Linked DNA regions of Rattus norvegicus. The protein of the gene in region 2 interacts with the protein of the main gene of each other region in a biochemical or structural test. Links are inferred from orthologs where the notes say so. Each region holds a gene or a part of one and is shown on either strand. Other genes may lie near its edges. The genes, in order: Rps6ka5 and Creb1.

What was found.
Region 1: of the proteins of Creb1 (region 2) and Rps6ka5, one has a biochemical effect on the other in vitro, tested with the Homo sapiens proteins (3 studies listed by BioGRID, with this or other methods). The link is inferred for Rattus norvegicus from reciprocal best matches to the Homo sapiens genes CREB1 and RPS6KA5.

Annotation. Positions count from the first base shown.
Region 1 is NC_086024.1:125,575,175-125,579,000, forward strand, and holds part of Rps6ka5 (ribosomal protein S6 kinase alpha-5), read right to left. Parts: intron 2,945-3,826; coding exon 2,819-2,944; intron 2,438-2,818; coding exon 2,304-2,437; intron 1,703-2,303; coding exon 1,609-1,702; intron 383-1,608; coding exon of another isoform or gene 371-382; exon of another isoform or gene 1-370. UniProt on the Homo sapiens protein: Serine/threonine-protein kinase that is required for the mitogen or stress-induced phosphorylation of the transcription factors CREB1 and ATF1 and for the regulation of the transcription factors RELA, STAT3 and ETV1/ER81, and that contributes to gene activation by histone phosphorylation and functions in the regulation of inflammatory genes.
Region 2 is NC_086027.1:73,432,145-73,435,970, reverse strand, and holds part of Creb1 (cyclic AMP-responsive element-binding protein 1), read right to left. Parts: exon of another isoform or gene 3,130-3,826; coding exon 2,987-3,129; exon of another isoform or gene 126-2,986; coding exon of another isoform or gene 106-125; intron 1-105.

The DNA.
Region 1 (3,826 bases), on a different chromosome or scaffold from region 2:
CTACATGTAGCATTAGATCATAAGAAAATTCCTATTCCAAGGAGTCTGAAATTTAAAAATTGCCAAAAATAAGCTTTTAACATAAATTTAAAAGCTAGGTATAGAATTCTTGAGCCATGATACTAGTCAGAAGTTCCAAGATCCAGTGTTTGGGCTGAGATTCAGTGAGGATCACAGCTGCAAAACTACAGGTGGGGTGTCTGAGGTCATCCATCAGTTTCTTGATAGGTGAGTTTTCTCTGTATCTGCATCAACAGGACGCTGTCTTTTAGCATGCACCTCAAATGGACAGGGGATTCACTGCTCCCATGAGAATCTGAGTAGGTCAACAAGGTAGAAGGCAAGGAGAGCATTCTCAAGAGTTCTTGCTTCAATAGCTTCTCTTCTCATGAGAACCAGAGGAAGGAGAAGATGATACCATTTTTAGATGTTTGTTATCTGACATAATAACCCGACTGTGTACCTGCCTCCTCTAATAGAGCAGAGCAAAGTAGTTAAAAGCTTGTTAGGGTCTGAAGTTGGAATGGTGGGGCTTAGATACCAGCCTTACCATTAACAAGCTGAACTTCTATGGGTTGTTTTCTGACATTACAGTGTTAAGGCAAGGACTAAGATAATACAGCAAAAGATTATAATGACAATGTGTTCCTGCTGCCACCTGATATCACCATGATGTTACTCTTAGTTATGGTACTCAGAACCGAGTCCCCAAAGCTACTCTAGTCAAGAATGTCACATCAACAGAATGATGTGAGTCTGGAAGAGGTTCTTTCTAGATTTTCACTGACTACGGATGCTGGAAAAAGTCTCAAGACTTTTAGGAATCTCAGGTCCTTTGTTGTTAAAATTAGAAGAAGGAAAAAACACGTTCAGGACTTGTTTTCACATTTGTGCCTTAATAGATAGGCATAGAAGGGTAACAAGCTGAAGTCCTGAGAAGGCTGTGATACCTGTCCACTGTCAGAGAAAAGAATACTGAAATAGCACAATTTCAGGCATGGGAGGTGACAATGCAGGGAGCTGAGAGGTGCTGTGGACCACCGATATTTCTATCTGTCCAAGTGACAGGCTTCTGTGTAAGACTTCTGTTGAGAAGCAGAGCTAAGGGTAGAAGAGAACATACAACAACCTGGCCTGGAGGTTGAGCAGATGCTGACACCTGGAACAAGATGAAAGGGAGCATTTTTGTCTTTCTGCTTCCCATTTGTCCTTAACTTGCAGCAAGTGGGCTTAAGAGTCAGTCTGTTTGATGCTAGAAATGTAAGGAATGTTGAAGGCTTAAAGTCACCAAGTACTGACTATGCATAGTTAAGTGAGGGAGATGGCAGCCTCACTCACAATAAGCACTCTGAAATCTGTGACAGTGGCTTATTGGGCTCTTCCCCTCTGGCATCCACCCATGCCAATATGGCAACCTAGGGAGGCAAGGTGAAGGAACAGGATGCAATGATTCAGGGGTGAGAGTGTGTGAGCTACCTTTTCTCCTCTTCCCTGAGGCTGGGTGATAGTCCCTGAGTTTCACTCAGCAGCACCAATAAAACTGGTAAGAAGCTGAACCCTGTATATGGTCTAGCCCATGTACATGGACAGAGGGAAGCCATGAAATACCTGGTCATGAAAAACTTCATGCAGCTTCACAACATTGGGGTGGCCTTCGCAGAGTTTCAGAGCTGTTATTTCTTTCTGAGTATTGGCTTCCATCCTGCAAGGTCAAATAGTCAACATTTCTATGTCTCTTCCAGCAGAGTCTGCAGCAGTGCTCCCTCCCTGTTTTTATTTACAGTGCACTCAGAATACTTGTGTCAAAGTCTCAAAATGACATATCCACGAAAGTAATAAGCATACCACCCACCAGGAAAGTAAAACTTTTTAAAAAGAAAATGACTCCCTCTTCATCAGAAGAGAGCTAGTCATACAAAGAAATGTATGTTCTTCCTGCTGACAATTTAGCAATGGTAATAACCCAGTACCAGAACAGCTAGCAGGCTCTGTTCTCAAAGCCATCAGGAAGCTTGTTGAATACTTTTGACTTCAAACATTCAACTAATAGAAGTCACCAAGCAAATCTGATTAAATATTTCATTACCGCAAGACAGTTTTCACATAGAACACAACAGATTCTGATTTGTCCAAAACTGTTTGACTCATCAGAAAACATTGGTGCTAGAGGTGCTGGAGATCAGCTAACATAGTAAATAGCCAAGCCTGTGTGTAAACAGCCTTGCAAGGGAAACAGCTGATTTCCTTCTCCAGAACCCCAAGTAGTATAAAGCCCCAAGAAAGACTGCTAGGACTGGCCATACCTTTTGCTGATTATTTTGACGGCAAAGGCTTGGTTAGTTTTTTTGTGTACACACTTCCGACAGATTGAAAAACTTCCTTCTCCCAAAGGTTTGTCCTTCAGATCTAGGTCATAGTGTTGGTAGAATGGTGAGTCCTGACGAAAGATCAACACCATTTAATTTAATAAAAGGTTGGTAGTAATACACAAAGCATATGTAAAGCTGCAATTTAATGTGAAATGATTAACAAATTTGAATGCAATATACTGAACCATTAGAACTCACTTAGTATATTTATATGTTCCTTACATTTGTCCCAAATATGCTGTCCTTTATCATGGTAAAAGGAACTCGTATACATTGAGATTGACAATCTTCTAGGGAAAACACTGCTATTTCCATGTATTTATTCATTTTTATAAAACTGCCTTTGGTTGGATGATAATCTAGTAAATTTTCTGGACTTAAGAACATCATTGAGTGTTTAAAATCCACACAAACCACAGATCCACACTGAGGCAGCCACCCCTAGGTACCTTCATCATTGCGCTCCTGGCAACGTTTGTCACTCCAGGGCGGTCTACTCCCATATGGAACTGAAGGGGATCTATGACCGCCGCGTTACGCTTGAAGAGGATGGAAGGAGCAACGAAGGAGTAGCCCTAAAAAGAGAAGGGAGGCTAAAGAACAGAGGTCTGCAGTCTCACAGCTGGGCAGTCTAGATGGTGACCATTTCTTTTCATAGAAAAAAAGTGTTCAGAAGAAGATAATTTTATTTTATTCAAAACACAGCATCGACTCAATAGCGAGTGCTTTTCTGAAGGAGATAATGCCATCTTCTGGCAGAAATAGCCCAACTCAAAGGAAAGACAGAGACTTCCTCCCTATTCCATCCCCAAACCTGACAAGCCTGTAAGCCTTTGCATTGCTGGTAATATTCTTTTATAACTCAACTGACCTCAAAAAAAAAAAAAAACCATCAAATAAAGCAGCCCAAGAATTATTTGAAACTAAAAAAATAACAAGTTTCATAAAAGTTCATCTTTAATTTATCAATTATTAAATTTGCATTCCATGTTTTCAGAATAACTAAACTTAAAATTGAGTTTTGGAAAATAATAAGCCCAGTGGAAGGATGATGTGATAAGCCAGAGTGATTAGTGACATGTGATCACTCTGTGCGAGCTTGGACATTTACTAGTTTCCCAACAAACACCTACACACAGTTGGGCATGTTCTCCAGTGCCGTGGGATAGGCAAGAGGCGCTCTCTGGATAGCCAGGGCAATCCACACTACAGGCACTTCCGTGGCCAGAGAGGACCAACCATGACACAGTTCAATAGGCAGAGTATCTTGTATCTGATAAAGAACCTTTCCCAAAATGATTCTGTACCATACAAAAGAATGTGTTTTATGTAACATTTCACACACAAATATACACATATTATTGTAATAAGATACTCTTGATAAAAACAAAAAGACAAACAAACACTCTTACAGGGGATGAAGAGATGGCTCAGTGATTCAAAATGTACACTTCTCT
Region 2 (3,826 bases):
GGTCCCCAGCTCCGAAAAAAAGAACCAAAAAAAAAAAAACTAGAGACAGACTCTCATTTAGATGCACCTTATCTAGTTCTAAGCTCCTTGTCTGGGTCTTCACAGAGCCTTCTATTGACTGCTGATGAAGAAGCACAATAGCTACTATCTGGCAAATGAAAATCACTCAGCACTCATCCAAGTCAACCTTACACAACAGTGCAAAGAAAAAGTTACTTGAAAGGTAAGTTCTTATCTTGTTTGAAATACATGATCTTTGGATACTGGAACTGAAAAATATGATTGACTCCTCAGATAAATCCAAGGATCAAGTTTTCAAAAAAAAAAAAAAACCTAAAAATTATAATTTTACCTGAGCAATTTCATAAATTGTGTGTGTGTGTGTGTGTGTGTGTGTGTGTTGGTGTGCACGCGCATATGATGGGCAAGTGCTGAGAATCAAACCTTCACACATGGTAGGAATACACCCTGTCAACTGAGGTTTGTTCCCAGCTCTTCATAATGGATTATAATTGCATTAAAAGGAAAGTTAAAAAAAAAATGTGGTACCAATGTACCTAATTAAGTTATTGTATAACAGAAGTAAATTAATTTAGGATTATCGGTGACCTCTGGGTAATTATACTATCCTGAGTGGTATGCGCACAGAAAATGGATAATTCACTGTTCAATCAAGAGCTATGAGTTCATGACTATTAGTCACTTTATCAAGGTGATAAATTTGTGGAAATTAACATACTAGCATATATAATGCTATGTTAGCTAATTCCAGATTTTACTATCTTAGATGTTAAAAAATGTCTATGAATTATTCTACGATTAACTTTGTAAGATTACTTGGAAAGGTCTGGAGATAGGGCTGCTCTCTCAGAGAACTTAGGTTCTATTCCCAGCATCAACAGGGAGGCTCACAGCCATGAGCAACTAGTTCTAGGGGACAGGACACCCTCTTCTGGCCTTTGCTGGTACTGCACACATCTGGTGCACAAAAACATCCATACACATAAAATAAAAATACACGAAGAGGGTCGGGGAACAAGGACTTTTAAAGAATCATAAGGTTATCAAAATCAAATCTTCATTTCTCCTGGAGTTAATTTGCAAATTCAAGTGTATTTAATTAACATTCTACTTTTTCTTGATTACACAGCAACAACCTCAAAGTGAATGGAAGGAAAAGATATGGGCTACTCTGTTAAGATCATTTGATTTTGTTATTTTTCCTGGAAATCTAAAAACATCTGCTCTTATGTAACAGATATAGTTGTTTTAAACAGTAAGGTCTCACACACACACACACACGACAATTCTTTGAAAATAAAAGTCTCATCTAAGATTTAAACATTTTTAACTGTGTAATATTTATTTGTACACTTGATTACTTTAAAAGTATAAGATAGTTCTGACAAAACCAAATTCATTAAAATAAATTCATTATCTCTAGGTATAATTAAATTGCTACCAAGAAATATGAACAAAGAAATATAATTATGTTAAATTTTAACTTAAATAATCTAAATACAATTAAATTGTAATAGCTGAGATTCTGTAAAGGACAGCTTTTGGAAAAAAGCAGAATGAAAAAGGAGGGATGAATACAAGTAGGAAAGAATGAGAAAGAGGTTTACACAGGACTGCAGAGATGACTTAAGAGGTTAAGAGCACTGACTACTCTTCCAAAAGACCCAAATTCAATTCCCAGCACCCACGTGGTGGCTAACAGCCACCTGTAACTTCAGTTTCAGGGGATCCAATGCTCTCTTCTAACCTTTACAGGCACCACATACATGTGCTGTTGATATACAATGCAAGCAAAGCACTCATACACATAAAACAAAAAAATTTTTTTTTAAATAAACAAGTTACAAAATAAGCAGTTTGCCATACATGTGAGTATTCAGTACTTTGTTTCTTAGTGGAAAAGAAAAGTCAAGAACATAATGCTAAATCACTTTCATCAAAGGCACACATGCATGTACAAAAGGATGGTATATAAGGTGAATAAAGCTTTAAGAAAACTCAAAGTACTAGTACGTTTAAACTGAAGCATCTAAGGGAATGGTAGGCAATCCATTCATCCTCCTCATCAGCTCCTGTGTGTCTTTCTTTCCTAATTCAAGCGAAACTCCCTAAGTAGTGAATTAGGACAGGGATAGGTTATACCCTCCGTGTGTTCATGCTGGAGGAGAAGTCTTGTACAATATCAGAGAAGAACCATCTTGAACACTTAAAATAATCTGGGTATGAAGCTATGTAAACACACACATACAGACACAGAGCCAGGCCAGGGTGGGGAAGATGTACCCCTTTACAGCTACCAATAGTTTAAGGAAAAAAGTCCATCTAAGTTTATTTAGCTCAGTTATCACAGACAGTAAAGACAATTTATCAAGAACACCACCCCTAGTGTTCAGACAGATGACCTAGTGGTTAAGAACGCTTAATCCTCTTGTAGAGGACTTAGGCTTGGTTCTTGGCACCCACATTAGGTGGCTCACAATTGTCTGTCACTCTATCTCCACAGGATCTGATCCAAAGGCTTCCCAGAACTGCTGCACACATGTGATGCATATAAACCCATGCAGGCACACACACACTCATAAATAAAACTAGCAAATATTAAAAAATTACCCTTCTTTATAAATAATACCAAAAGTTTCCGTGTTGGAAAAACTAAAAATTTTGCTTTAGGAATCCACTTTAAATACAGCTGGAATACAAATTACAGGCTGGCAAGCCAACACCATGCTAAAATTAAAAATAGTAATTTGTGTGTGAATCATGTAAGAAACATGGTGGAAGGCAGGAATGGGTAAAAGAAAAAAGAGAGTGACATTCCCATAAATGCCTTTTAACAATTCTTCAATAATGTCTGACAGTAGGGCAAACAATATTGCCAGCAAAAGCTTTGGCATTTATCATTTCCTTAAAGAGAACCTAACAGTTTTCCTTCTCACTTTTCATAATAGAAAAACGTATTACTCACTATACTGCCCACTGCTAGTTTGGTAAATCGGGGTTGGCACTGTTACAGTGGTGATGGCAGGGGCTGAAGTCTCTTCTTCTGATTTTTCTTCTTCAATCCTTGGCACCCCTGGTGCATCAGAAGATAAGTCATTCAAAATTTTCCTAGAAAAATAAGGAGCTATTTTAATTAAAAAAAAGTCACTAAGTACAAATTAAGATTAGAAACTGCTAATGTATAGGACAAAAATTCAAACACATGAATAAACTCCAAACAAAGTAGGAACTTTAAATGCAAGAATTGCGTGATGGTAATGGGGGTGGTGGTGGTGGATAATAAATAAAACTACATATGTTTTGTTTTTTTTTATCTTATGCGCTAGGGTGTTTTATTTGTACATGTTTAGTGCCTGCAGAATCCAAAGGAGGACACTGTATATCGTATGACTAGAGTTACAGATGGCTGTGAGATGCTGTATGTGTCCTGGGGATTGAATTTGAATCTTTTAGAAGACCCATCTCCCTCTACCCACTCCAAGCCGTGTGTGTGTGTGTGTGTGTGTGTGTGTGTGTGTGTCCCCGAGACAGGGTTTCTCTGTGTGGTCCTGGTATCTTGAAACTCACCCTGTCACTCTATTTAGATCAGGCTGGCCACAAACTCAAGAGATCTGCCTACCTCTGCTTCCTAAGTGCCAAGATTAAAGGCATGCATCGCCACCACCTGGCTTATTTTGGTTTTTAAGAAGGTGTCTTATTATGAATCTCAGGAAAATCACAATCCTCCTGCATTAGCCTCCCCAGTACTAGGATTACAGTTACACACCTTGCATGCCTGGTTCTCTCTATATATACTTATAGATAA